Linked DNA regions of Anolis sagrei. The protein of the gene in region 1 binds, or shares a complex with, the protein of each later gene. Links are inferred from orthologs where the notes say so. Each region holds a gene or a part of one and is shown on either strand. Other genes may lie near its edges.

Region 1 (7,094 bases):
GAACCCTCAGAAAACAAATATATCACTATCTTAAGACAATTCCACACAAGCATTATTATTAAGCATTGAAGCTGTCTTGAGATTGGGGTATCCACATAACATACAACCCCAGTGTATGCTGTAAGCACACATTAAGTCTGAAGAAGTGTGTTAAAAAACTCACCAGAAATATCGGATTAAATCAGAAAATCTGGTGCAGTTGACCAGAGTATATCCCATGTAGGGCTCAAAACTGGGATGATTCCTAACAGACATGGATATGCGCATCTAGTCACTGATACTGTAGTTTCTGGGTTTGCTCCTGTTTCGCAGTCAGTGGATAGTGTGGCCACCATCCCAGTCTCTAACCAGTTCCTGGGGCAACCATTTAGTTGTTCCACCAGAGACTGGTTCTCTTTCATTCACTTCCTAACTTGGTTTAAGTCGCTGTATAGAACCGCCCTTATTCACCCATTTGGATAATTTAGGATTTCTGCATACTTTGATGCTCAGTTTGTATTCTGTCTAAATTTAATTTCCAGCTAGGCATCTTAGGTGCATAAGAAACACAAATGAATATCTTGTTTAGACTTTGGTCCCATCTCAAAAGCTCCATCTACACTGACCATTTCATGCAGCTGGATGCTGGGGTGGCCAGACAACGAACGTTTGCTGCATGTATGACCTGAAAGTCCTTAATGCGCATCAGTGCTCTGTGGTTTGCGCAACCATCAGACTGATTCCAGGATTTCCTATATAATAATCTGTACAGCGAACCACTTTCTTCAATGCTGGTTTGTGTATTAAAGTGTATTAAATGGTCAGAGATTAGATGTTTCCTAAAATGTCTCCATAATAATAATAATAATAATAATAATAATAATAATATCTCCAAAATACTTCTAGCCCCAAGGATCAATCATAGAATTATGAGTTGGAAGAGACTGCAAGGTCCATCCAGCCCATTCCTATTCTGCCATGAAGGAACACACCATCCAAGGATGCAAAGGATGCTCAACCTGTATTCTGTATAAAATTCCTTTCAATGTGTTTCAGCTGTAAATGAAACACAAATGAATTCCAGTTTTAAAATGGTCCCATCCCCCAAGACGTATCAATAATAATAATAATAATAATAACAACACATCAAAAGTACAGGTTGTCACAAAAGTCTACATAAAAGGTAAAGGTACAAGTTTCCCCTGACACTCAGTCTAGACCAGTGGTTCTCAACCTGGGGTCCCCAGATGTTTTTGGCCTTCAACTCCCAGAAATCCTAACAGCTGGTAAACTGGCTGGGATTTCTGGGAGTTGTAGGCCAAAAACATCTGGGGACCCCAGGTTGAGAACCACTGGTCTAGACACTGACTCTGGGGGGTAATGCTCATTTCCATTTCTAAGCCAAAGAGCTGGTGTTGTCCATAGACACCTCCAAGGTCATGTGACTGGCATGACTGCATGGAGCGCTGTAACCTTTACGCAAAAGTGGTACCTATTGATCTACTGACATTTGCATGTTTTCGAACTGCTAGGTTGGCAGAAGCTGGGCCTAACAGCGGGAGCTCACCCCACTCCCTGGACTTCAGCCACCAACCTTTCAGTCAGCAATTTCAGCAGCTCAGGGGTTTAACCTGCTGTGGCACTAAATACATAGGGAAAAAATGACAAACTCACATTATGTGTTATATTATATATTTTAGATGGCTGTATATTTGTATACTTTTAGATATACAGCGAATAAAAATAGTTTGTAATGAATATTTTGTAAATGAAGTAAATGAAGGTACATTTAATTCAGGCATGGGCAAACTTGGGCCTTCCTCCAGGTGTTTTGGACTTCAACTCCTACAATTCCTAAAAGCCTACCGGCTGTTAGGAATTGTGGGAGTTGAAGTCCAAAACACCTGGAGGAAGGCCCAAATTGGCCCATGCCTGATTTAGCTCCCATTCTCCCTCTGTAGGGCGGCTTTGGAGACTTTGTATGGCAAGCATCCCGAGTGAGGGACACCCCAAGGCCAGGGGCGAATCCTGCCCGCCGCCTTTCCTCTCCCTCGAGGCGGGCCTCCTTCCCTCTCTCCTTCCCTGCCTGCCCGCTTGATGGCGCCTTACGGGGCATCCGGGTGAGGACGTTCCGCGGCGCCTTCTTGCCCCGGGCCCGGCTCCTCCCGGCCTCCTCGGGCGCGGCCTGCTCCACCACCATGAGGCTCCGGAGCCGCTGGATCCGCGCGGGGTCTGGAGGGGCGGAGGCGGCCCGCCCGGCTCGGCCCTTCCGGCGGCGGCTGCTGCGGCTACTGCTGCGCCCGGCTTCTCCGGCCTGCGGGCCCCGGCCGCGCTGGAAGCTCTCGTACTCGGCTAGGTTGTTGAAGCAGGGCGCGGCCGGGAAGGGCAGCGGCGTCCGCGGAGAATAGAGCGCCAGGAGCGGGTCGAAGCGCGGGGAGGCCACGTCCAAGCGGGCCGGGCTCGGGGAGCGCTCCCGGGAGCGGCGGCGGCGGCTACTACGGCGCCCGGGCCTCTTCTCCTCCATGACTCCGTCCTTCCTTCCTTTCCCGCTCGCTCTCCCTCCCTCCCTTCCTTCTGTCTTTCCGCGCCTCAAGCCCTGCCAGGAGGGCCCAGTCCCTCTCACATTAAGCACGTTGTGTCCAGCCAAGGCCTGGCTCTCCTTTCGCGCCTTCCCGGTCCCTGGATCCTGGAGTCAGCCGACGGATTGAGCGCCTCCAGCTCCCATGCTGCTCCCTCCAAGCCAACGAGTAACTCACTACGGGCGGGCGCCACGGCCCAACTCCCCTCCCGCCACTTTCCGGCCCAGGCTCCCCCTCCTCTCTCTCTCTCAACACCTCAGTCTCCCAGAATCATCCATTTCCAAGGTCACCTCCAGACCCACAATTTAGTCTCGCCACTGACAGGAATAAAAAAGACAACTACACGCCTTGGCTCGCTTTGAACGTTGTGCCTGGTTTAAAAAATGGCGCTTCCACGCTCAGAATAGAAGCGGAGGGGAGGTGGGGGGCAAAACCATGAGGAAAAGCGCTCTGGAAAGTGTAAAGCCCACGCACTTGTCAACGCCGCTTCTAACATGACATCTCTCCTCCCACTGTTTTAAATAAATGCCACCGCATTTTCTCTTCTATGCACACTACGCACAAAGGGGCCAGGAATGGGATCTCTGCTCTTCTTCTTCAGAGGAGGAGGAGTGGGGATCTGGGCCTGACGTGGGGATTGACAACTTTCTGGTGGAACCATCTGGCTCTCCCACAGAGAGGCCTTGTTTATATGGAAGATCTGCCTTTGTTTGTTACTACAGGACAACAACCCTTTTATCTCAGGCCTGGGCAAACTTGGGCCCTCCAGGTGTTTTGGACTTCAACTCCCGCAATCCCTAACAGCCTCAGGCCCTTCCTTTTCCCCCTCAGCCTGACAAACGTGGACTTCAACTCCCGCCATCCCTAACAACCTCAAGCCCTTTCCTTTTCCTCCCTAGCCAGGGAAACATGGGCCCTCCAGGAGTTTTGGACTTCAACTCCCACAATCCCGAACAGCCTCAGGCCCTTCCTTTCCCCCCTCAGCCTGACAAACGTGGACTTAAACTCCCGCCATCCCTAACAACCTCAAGCCCTTTCCTTTTCCTCTCTAGCCAGGGAAACATGGGCCCTCCAGGTGTTTTGGACTTCAATTCCCGCAATCCCTAACAGACTCAGACCCTTCCTTTTCCCTCTCAGCTGTGCAAACTTGGGCCCTCCAGGTGTTTTGGACTTCAATTCCTGCAATTCCTAACAGCCTCAGGATGCTTACTTTTCACCTTCAGCTGCTTAAGCAGCTAAGGTGGGGAAAGGAAAGGACCCGAGGCTGTTAGGAATTGCGGGAGTCCAAAACACCCGAAGGGTCCAAGTTTGCCCAGGCCTGCTTTATCTGGAGATCCGAAATACTGTATATACTCAAGCATAAGCCGACCCGAATATAAGCCGAGGCACCTAATTTTACCACTAAAAACCGGGAAAACGTATTGATTCGAGTATAAGCCGAGGGTGGGACATGCAGCAGCTACTGGTCAATTTCAAAATAAAAATAGATACCAATAAAATTATATTAATTGAAGCATCAGTAGGTTAAATGTTTATTAATATTTACATAAAACTGGAAGGTAAGACTGTCCAACTCTGACAAAAACCATTATTCTAACCTTCAATGTACATGTGTTTACGTATCCTTCCAATAATAATAGAGTAAAATAATAAATGCAATAATAAAATAATATTAATATTAAATATTATTATCAATATTATGTGTAAATGTAATAATAATAAGAGTAAAATAATAAATAACCTTGACTCAAATATAAGCCGAGAGGGGCTTTTTCAGCCTAAAAAAGGGGCTGAAAAACTAGGCTTATACTTGAGTATATACAGTACTCTCAAATTGTCCCCACAGATAGTAAGAGAGTGAGCACCTTTGCTTTCTAAACAAAATGATTTAAAATAAAATATAAAATAACCCCTAGCTATATCTAGACCTCTGGTGGTGCAGCGGATTAAACCACTTGCTGGCCAAAAGATCGGCGGTTTGAATCCGGGATGCGGGGCAAGTTCCCACTGTTAACCCCAGCATCAGCCATTTTAGCAATTCGAAAATATACAAGTGTAAGTAGATCAATAGGTACCACTTCTCCGGGAAGGTAACAGTGCTCCATGCCATCATGCTGGCCACATGATCTTGGAGGTGTCTACAAACAACGGCAGCTCTTTGGCTTAGAAATGGAGATGAGCACCAACCTCCAGAGTCAGACACAACTAGACTTAATGTCAAGGGGAAATCTTTACCTTTATATGTAGATGTATATGAAACATAAATGTATTTCATGTTTAGTCCCTAAGATTCTCATTATGTACATTGTTCTGAAACCTTAAACATTTCTGGTCCCAAGGGATGCTCAACCCCTATTAGTGTTATGCAGGGGTGTAAGAAAGGTACACATTTATATACTTCACAGCTCAGGTTGTACATGCAGCAGACTTTTGAGCCCGTTACGTAAACAGTTTCCATGACTGATTTGAGAGGGTGTCGTCATGTTTACCCGCTTGCAAGCCAGGGATTCTGTACAGAGTGGAATGTAGTAAATGTCACCGGCTTGACTTTTATGAGACATCCTCCGCAACTAGGAAAGCAGAAGGAGAAATCACATGCCTACAAGAGGCGATAGTGAGACATTGTAAACATATCCTTGAAACAGCCACATTACTTTGCAATCCTCACAGATAACAGCAATCCGCTGGATCAATGTGAGTTATGCAGCCAAAGGAGTGGGATCCAGTGTGACTCCCAGACTCCCATACAGGCACACAATCTGACATCTTCTTTCTTCCAATGGATGTGGTTGAAACACACTGTGACTAGTGAACTTTTAAATGCTGTTTTAGGAACCCTACTGCAAAACAACAGGAATCCCACACCCCAGATTAGGAGAGACAAAACAACTGTGAATTGTCCCAAAAGCAGCTGTGGCCTCACAGTACAAACTACTGGGAACTCATGTATCCTGTGCCTTGGAGTGTACCCTGTCCAATCTAGATGCAATCCAGATCTGCTTCTGATACACTTCAGGGATTACTGGATTACACGAGTCTCCACTGCCAGAATCAGACCCTGGGATATAGGAACAGTGTGGAAGGGCCTTAGGAAAGCAACATTATTTCTCTGCTTGTGAGTGGTAGCACAAGCTTCTCTCTGGCTTGCCTTATCCATCAGCCTGAGTACCTTACCTTTGTGGACTGATGAGCTAAGAGCCAGTATCTTATAGCTTGGGCATGGGCAAACTTCAGCCCCCAAAACACCTGGAGGACCGAAGTTTGCCCATGCCTGTTACAGCTGCTTCTATTCTTTCTGTTTAATATCCTCATCAGTTTTCTCCAACTTGGTGACACCCAGATGTGTTGGACATCTCCCATGATTTTTGCCCAATTCTCGACCATTCTTGGTGGAGCTGATGGGAGTTAAAAAGTCCAAAGCATCAGAAAATACTGAACTGGGAATGTGGATCCAATGGGTAATAATATGGTGCTTAGGTTTGACATAAAACCATGAGTGAATTCAGAGTAGCCAATATGCACTCAACATTCAAACCAAGAGAAACTGTTCCAAATTATGAATCAGTGTCTGGCATCAGAAATACAGAAGGCAACCTAAGGTTTAATCAGTGCCAGCTTAAGACATTTTTTTGTCTGAAGGTCAAGATGACTCCTCTCTTCAATTCCAACATAAATCAACTAGACCAGCAGTTGAATGCAGACTACCTGAATGACGGAGTTCTACAACATGACTGTTTTTTTAAAATGCTGCAAAACTCCAGTTGAGAACTCACAATGCTAGCAAGTATCTGTATTCTGCCTTGAGGTGTTCAAAGGACTATAACATTCAATTCCATTCACCATTGCCATGAAACTGATAGGGACAAAAAGAAAAAAGTACTAAAGCCTGTTTCCCCATTTAAAAATGCAAAGCACCCTTCGTTAAAATTAGGTCTGTCACTTTACTTTCCCCACTTGATTTTTTTAACCATCTTGGCCTGAAGATAACAGCAGATTTAACTGTATGTGGCTTCTACATTACAGATAACCATGTAAGATAAGTAGCTTTATTAGTTATCTTTTTCAAACAGGCTGCAATGAATGATGCTGTAATGCCTTTTGCTCCAAATCTTGTCACATTTAAAAAAGAAAGACAAAGGGAAAAGACCAATAGAGAGGACCAAGAGAGCATCATTAGCCTGCATAAAAGCTTCCTCTTATCATAATCTTCCAGCCCACGTTACGTATGGTTAAGTGTCCTTGTAAAATCTTACAATTGATCCATGTTGTTCCATTTCCCGTTTTGGACAAGGTCTTGATACTTTGTGGCTTTGACAAAAGAAAAGGCCGAAGAGCAACGCAAACTCTTGTTGAACTCCACACCATAAGGAAAGAACTTTCTCTACAATAGTTGCCACAGTCCTCTCAACAGCAGGTTTTGGATAGTTTCCCAGGCAGTAGTAAAATGAGACCATGACCTACAAACATACCCTGCTGTGATATCTCCCTTATACAATAACTTTATTATTCCAGTCTGGCCACCTGAGACCTTCTCTA
Region 2 (7,674 bases), on another chromosome or scaffold:
GCCGGCAGGCCTGCTGACCGAAAGGTTGGCGGTTCAAATCCGGTGAGTGGGGTGAGCTCCCATCTGTCAGCTCCAGCTCCCCATGCAGGGACATGAAAGAAGCCTCCCACAGGATGGTAAAACATCCAGGCGTCCCCTGGGCAACGTCCTTTCTTGCAGGCGGCCAATTCTCTCACACCAGGAGCAACTTGCAGTTTCTCTAGTCGCTCCTGACATGGAAAAAAAGGTGCTATGGAATTCTACAGTGTAGAATATGCACCCCACACTTTTTAATATATGTGTTTGAATGATCTCATGGTTTTATTTATGGATTTCAATATAGTTATATACCACTTTAATGATCATGGCCCAGAGCTATGGAAGGAGTCGCCGTTGGCACAATGGGTTAAACCCTTGTGCCGGCAGGCCTGCTGACCGAAAGGTTGGCGGTTCAAATCCGGTGAGTGGGGTGAGCTCCCATCTGTCAGCTCCAGCTCCCCATGCAGGGACATGAAAGAAGCCTCCCACAGGATGGTAAAACATCCAGGCGTCCCCTGGGCAACGTCCTTGCTTGCAGGCGGCCAATTCTACCACACCAGAAGCAACTTGCAGTTTCTCAAGTTGCTCCTGATATGAAAAAAAGGTGCTATGGAATTCTACAGTGTAGAATATGCACCCCACACCTTTTAATATATATCTTTGAATAGTCACACGGCTTTCTCTGTGCATTTTAATGCAGAAATGCCAATTTTTAATGCATGTTGTACATTTCTACCATGACCATGACTCAGTGCTATGGAATCCTACAGTAGATGCAACCCCAAGCCTTTTAATATGTGTTTGGATGGGCTCATGGCTTTATCTGTGCATTTGAATGCAGTTCTGTACCACTTTAATGACCATGGCTTTATGTTATGGAATCCTGCAGTTCAGATGCAACCCCACATCTTTTAATATATGTGTTTGAATGGTCTCACTGCCTCATTTGTGCATTTGAATGCAGTTTTATACCGCTTTAATGACCATGGCTTCGTGTTGTGGAATTCTGCCTTCTAATATGTGTTTGAATGGTCTTTTTGTTTTATCTATGTATTTGAACTATGGGTGCCTCTAGTCCAGCCATGGGCAAACTTCGACCCTCCAGGTGTTTTGGATTCCAACTCCCACAATTCCTAACAGCCTACCGGCTGTTAGGAATTGTGGGAGTTGGAGTCCAAAACACCAGGAGGGCCGAAGTTTGCCCATGCTTGCTTTACTCTATACAGTAGAACAGTGGTTCTCAACCTTCCTAATGCCGTGACCCCTTAATACAGTTCCTCATGTTATGGTGACCCCCTACCATAATATTGTTTCTGTTGCTACTTGATATCTGTCATTTTACTACTGTTATAAGTCGTAAATATCCGATATGCAGGATGTATTTTCATTCACTGGACCAAATTGAGCACAAATACCCAACACTACCAAATGTGAATGCTAGTGGGGTTGGGGGAGAATTGATTTTGTAATTTGGGAGTTGTAGTTGCTGGGATTTATAGTTCACTTATAATCAAAGAGCATTCTGAACTCCACCAGCAATGGATTTGAGCTGAACTTGGCACACAGAGATCCCATGACCAACAGAAAACACTGGAAGGGTTTGGTGGGCACTGACCTTGAGATTGGGAGTTGTAGTTCACCTATATCCAGAGGAGCACTGTGGATTCACATAATGATAGATCTGGACCAAACTTGGCACGACTACTCAACATGTCTAAATATGAACACTGGTGGAGTCTGGGGAAAATAGACGTTGACATTTGCTGGGATGTATAGTTCACCTACAATCGACCAACAATAGAATTGGGTCAAATTTCCCACACTGAATCCACATGACCAACAGAAAATACTGTGTTTTCTGACGGTCTTTTGAGACCCCTTTGACACCCCCTCATGACCCCGTCTGGGGTCCCAACCCCCAAGCTGAGAAACAGTAGAATGACTAACTGACTCAATGTTATGGAATCCTGGGAGTTGTAGTTTTAAAAGTCTTGAGGCTTCGCTGAGAGGACAGCGCCTCCCAGGATTTGTAGACGCCCCCTGGGAAGAACTGGGAGGACTGCAACTCCCAGAATCCATCCTCTTATTACCAATTCTGGGCACCACAATTCAAGAAAGATATTGACAAGCTGGAATGTGTCCAGAGGAGAGCGACTAAAATGATAAAAGGTCTGGAGAACAAGCCCTATGAGGAGTGGCTTAAGGAGCTGGGCATGTTTAGCCTGAAGAAGAGAAGGCTGAGAGGAGATATGATAGCCATGAATAAATATGTGAGAGGAAGCCACAGGGAGGAGGGAGCAAGCTTGTTTTCTGCTTCCATGGAGATTAGGACAAGGAACAATGGCTTCAAACTACAAGAGAGGAGATTCCATCTGAACACGAGGAAGAACTTCCTGACTGTGAGAGCCGTTCAGCAGTGGAACTCTCTGCCCCGGAGCGTGGTGGAGGCTCCTTCTTTGGAAGCTTTTAAACAGAGGCTGGATGGCCATCCGTCAGGGGTGATTTGAATGCAATATTCCTGCTTCTTGGCAGAATGGGGTTGGACTGGATGGCCCATGAGGTCTCTTCCAACTCTTTGATTCTATGATTCTATGATTCAAAGCCCTGGTCTTGAACACAATGGAAAATATTGGTACAATTCTGGGAGTTGTAGTTCCTGTCAAAAGTAACTTTTCCAAACTTTTGATTGGGTTCCATTAAGCCCCACCCTTAAAAAGAGCAGGAAGCTTTTCTGCAACCTATTAGTCCCAAACGCATAGCTCAATTATGCCTAATGCAACTGCTTAATAGCTCTACATTGGTGTAAATCCATGGGATTCAATGGGTCTACGCTACTGCCAAACTAACAACAGAAACCCAAAGCACAGCCGCTGGGAGGGATAATGGGACATGCAATCCATCGCCTACCTGGCCAGGATTTCCTGCTTCCTCGTGCAAAGCAGAAAAGACCACCAAAAAGCGCATGCGTAATAGGAGATTCCCGACTCAGAGGCTCTGAAGTGGGCGGAGCTAGATCAGAGCGCCTCGTTTTCCCATTCGCCTGGACTTGCCCCCGCCCCGATGGAACAGAGAAGCAACTCCATTGGCCCGGAAGGCGGTCCTCGGACACGGAAAGATGGCATTTGATTGGCTCGCTGCTTCCCCCCCCCCCCCGCTTCCAGGATTGGAAGTAGGTAATGTTCGAAGCCACAACTCCTTCCCCACTTTGCTGTTGTCTTCGACTTGTTGTCTTAGGCTTGTCAGCAGCCTATGATACTGTGAACCACCGCCTCCTCCTGAGAAAAATGTATAATATCACAAAGGACTACCACCTCACCCGCCTCATAGGAAACCTGCTACAAAACAGGAGCTTCTTTGTTGAGTTCCAGGGCCAGAGAAGCAGATGGCGGAAACAGAAGAACGGCCTGCCTCAGGGGAGCGTGCTCGCTCCATCCATGTTCAACATCTACACAAATGACCAGCCACTGCCAGAAGGGACAGAGAGTTTCATCTATGCTGATGATCGTGCCATTACCACTCAAGCAGGGAGCTTTGAGATGGTTGAAAAGAAGCTCTTTGAATCTCTAGGTGCTCTTACTGCCTATTACAGGGAAAACCAACTGATCCCTAATCCATTTAAAACACAGACATGCGCCTTTCACCATAACAACAGACAAGCATCCCGAGCTCTGAGGATTAACTGGGAAGCAATCCCACTGGAGCATTGCAACGCACCCAAATACCTGGGAGTCACTTTGGACCGTGCTCTGACCTACAAGAAGCACTGCCTGAACATCAAGCAAAAAGTGGGCGCTAGAAACAACATCATACGAAAGCTGGCACAACCTGGGGATCACAACCAGACACAGCAAAGACATCTGCACTTGCGCTATGCTACTCTGCTGCTGAGTATGCATGCCCAGTGTGGAACACACATCACCACACTAAAACAGTAGATGTGGCTCTTAATGATACATGCCGCATCATCATGGGGTGTCTGTGCCCTACACCACTGGAGAAATTACACTGCTTAGCCGGTATTGCACCATCCGACATCCGCTGGGAAGTAGCAGCCAATAGTGAAAGGACCAAGGCCGTGACATCTCCAGCCCATCCCTTGTTTGGGCATCAGCTAGTACGCCAATGACTTAAATCAATAAATAGTTTTCGAAGATCTACAGAGACACTTGCTGGAACACCTCAGCAAGCAAGAGTCCAAAAGTGGCAGGCTCAAACCCAGAACCTCAACCAATGGCTGATACCAAATGAGAGACTCCCCCCTGGGCACACAGAAGACTAGGCGACTTGGAAGGCGCTGAACAGACTGCGCTCTGGCACCACGAGATGCAGAGCCAATTTTAAGAAATGGGGCTACAAAGTGGAATCCACGACATGCGAGTGTGGAGAAGAGCAAACCACTGACCATCTGCTGCAATGCAGCCTGAGCCCTGCTATATGCACAAGGGAGGACCTTCTTGCAGCAACACCAGAGGCACTCCAAGTGGCCAGATACTGGTCAAAGGACATTTAATCAGCTACCAAGCTTGCAAATTTTGTGTTTTGTTTTGTTTGTTTGTTTTGTTAAAAATGTAATACAACTGTCTGGTTGCTCCTGACATGATAAACAAATAAATAAATAAATAAATAAATTATAAGAAAGGTAAACAACATCAAAAAAAAAAAGGAGAGGGGAGGGGAGTAGGCAATAAAGAAAAGGTAAGGGATAAAACATCTTTCTATTTAAAGTTTTTTTTGTTGTATCTTTAACTATAGAAAGAGATCGGTACATTGAAAGTGTGGGAACAATATCCGGATAGGAAAGTAGGAAATGAAAGGAAAAAAACTCCCAAAAAACAGGTTGACTTCCTTCTATTCATCGGTGGTTGATAGTTTAGCTATTGATATGGCAGGAAATTATTTTTTACTTCCCCATGTCTCATGTGACATCTTGTGAGTATCATATTTCAAATAATCAAATTGATCTTCAGTTGCTTAAAGTAGTTCTTTACCAGGTCCCAATTTGCTTGCTTCTTCGGAAGGCCTTGGTTTCGCGAAATCCAATATGTTAGTTGGTCCATGTTCATTACCTCTACAATTTTCTTTTGCCAGTCCTCTCTTTTTGGGATTTCTTTCCTCCTCCAAGTCTTCGCAAACACTATTCTCGCTGCAATCACTAAATAACTGAATAAAATTTCTTTATCTTTGTCTTCCGCTATTTCTAACATTCCCAGCAAAAAATATTCTGGTTTCTTTTCAAGCTTCGTATCCATTATTTTTTGTATTTTCAAATGGATGTCAGTCCAATACTTTCTTACTTCAGGACAAGTCCACCAGATGTGGAAAAGGTTCTCGTTTCCAACATTTGTCTGAGGCATTTTTGTAACATTTAGAGATTTTGTGGGGGGTGATGTATCACCTATGAATAATTTTAAGCCAATTTTCTCTTAATTCGTACGCATATGTGTATTTAATCTTCTGGTTCCAGATTTTTTCCCATTTCTCTAATTTTATTGGGTGCCAATAATAGGTGTATTTTTACAAATACACACAAACATACCATTGGGTCCCCATGCACTTTGCATCCTGGTTGAAAAAAGAAGCTGGTGCTATATATTTAATGACTGTAAGCCAGTGGCTACAGGAGCCTTTATGGCTGAGGATGAGAAGCAAAAACATTTTACATGCAAAATATAGAATATTGCCTGTCTCCCATCTGGAAAAGGAGTCCCTGATCCATGGAAAAGTGGCCATTTCCCCTGTGACCTTGTGCAACAAAACAGCAACAAAGATGGAAGGTCGGAAGGCAGAATTTGCAACAGGCAGACCACACACAAGATAGAGGGCAAAGGACAAACAACAAGGTCTGGCCCAAGGCAAGGCCGTGAGGGACTCAGAGCACAGACACACAAGGCCAGACAGTGGGAAGCTACCACTGTATTCTATATTTTGCCTTTGCTGCCTCCTATTATTTATTAAAGGTGTCTATTGCTGCCACCAATTTACTATTTTAATAGGCCACTTCCTTCAACTGGAATGTTCAAAAAGCCACATGAAGACTTCAGTGAAAATGAAACAGGAATATGTTGTTTATTTTGAACAGTCAATATGCATAAGGGTTTCAAATAACTTATCAGGCTTTACTTCTTACAGAGGATGGTACTTTTATCTTTAGTTTCTTAAAACAAAGTTCCACACACAGAAATTCAAACAGGATCTTTAAAACCTTTTGACTCTCCCTTCCTCCCCAGCACTCTAAACACTATAGAGGCCTATTAACTATTATCTTCAAAGATATATTTAAACCACAAACAGTTTGCAAAATCTTCCTTCCTTTCCCTTTCAAAACTTCTGTCTTCTTCCTCACCATACTCCTGATCTAAAATGGCTGCCTCAGCTTTTTCGCCCCCTTTCTGGCTCCACCCATCTCCAGTTGCTGAGCTTTTCCCTCCAACTACATCAACCAGACTGCACTCCTGGCCATGAGGCTGCCTGTTTGCTCCTCCCCTCAGCTCTTCTTAGCCTTAGCAACCCGGGCCTGATTTCTGCCTTTTACATCAACCCTTTAAGGTAGGCCAGTCTGTTACACCTTGCATCTCTGGAACCACATACATAGATTCATCAAGGCATTGGAATTCAGTACACTAACAAAATTTGAAAAAAAAATCAGTTCCTGAAAGTGTTATTTTCTGTTTAATTGTGCAGTCCTTATTTTGGAAGTTCATTGTTCTACTCCAGAAGCTTTGTTTTTGTGGCTGCTGCAAACTTTGTTGAATTGGTTGAGAATCGATGAGATATTCATTGAAAAACTATAGCAAAATGTGCTACAGGATGCCCAGCAAAAACAAAGTTTTTGCAGTTTAATCCATTTTTCCATGTTTTTGATACACCCAATTAGTAAATGACATGTATAACCCAGGATCAAAAAGAATGTTACTTAGTGTTATAAGTGGCTCATGTTCCTCCCAAGTGGACTGTATCACCGTTTAATGCTTTATGTGCCACCAATGTATTGGTAATGGGAGTGTAATTCAGTCTCAGATTGACTTATGCAAAAAGCCACTTTGGCTCTTTGCAGATGGGATACTTGAGAAAATCTTCCACATTCAATATTTTGTTGTTTATTCGTTCAGTTGCTTCCGACTCTTCGTGACCTCATGAACCAGCCCATGCTGGAGCTCCCTGTAAGCCATGGCCACTCCCAGCTCCTTCAAGGTCAAGGCAGTCACTTCAAGGGTACCATCGATCCATCTTGTCCTTGGTCGGCCCCGCTGCCTTTTTCCTTCCATTTCCCCCAGAATTTTGTCTTCTCTAAGCTTTCCTGTTTTCTCATTATGTAGCCAAAGTACTTCAACTTTGCCTCTAATATCCTTCCCTCCAGTGAGCAGTCGGGCTTTATTTCCTGGAGTATGGACTGGTTGGATCTTCTTGCGGACCAAGGCACTTTCAGAATTTTTCTCTAGCACCACAGTTCAAAATTGTCTATCTTCCTTCGCTCAGCCATCCTTATGGTCCAGCTCTCGCATCCATAGGTTGCTACAGGGAATACCATTGCTTTAACTATGCGGATCTTCGTTGCCAGTGTGATACCTTCAATATAAAGAATACTTATTTTCCAAATTGCTTTTGAGTGAAGAAATGGTAATAGAAAAGATAAACTAAAAACCCATGACACTGCTG

The links. The genes of interacting proteins can lie anywhere in the genome.
Region 2: LSM11 (region 1) and LSM10 share a complex: the UniProt entries of both Homo sapiens proteins name them as parts of the heptameric ring U7 snRNP complex. The link is inferred for Anolis sagrei from reciprocal best matches to the Homo sapiens genes LSM11 and LSM10.

What each region holds. Positions count from the first base shown.
Region 1 is NC_090022.1:80,301,477-80,308,570, forward strand, and holds the start of LSM11 (U7 snRNA-associated Sm-like protein LSm11), read right to left. Parts: upstream 3,018-7,094; 5' UTR 2,504-3,017; coding exon 2,089-2,503; intron 1-2,088. UniProt on the Homo sapiens protein: Component of the U7 snRNP complex that is involved in the histone 3'-end pre-mRNA processing. Increases U7 snRNA levels but not histone 3'-end pre-mRNA processing activity, when overexpressed. Required for cell cycle progression from G1 to S phases.
Region 2 is NC_090034.1:85,136,410-85,144,083, forward strand, and holds the start of LSM10 (U7 snRNA-associated Sm-like protein LSm10), read right to left. Parts: upstream 3,013-7,674; 5' UTR 2,926-3,012; intron 1,800-2,925; exon of another isoform or gene 1,756-1,799; 5' UTR 1,634-1,755; intron 1-1,633. UniProt on the Homo sapiens protein: Appears to function in the U7 snRNP complex that is involved in histone 3'-end processing. Increases U7 snRNA levels but not histone 3'-end pre-mRNA processing activity, when overexpressed. Required for cell cycle progression from G1 to S phases.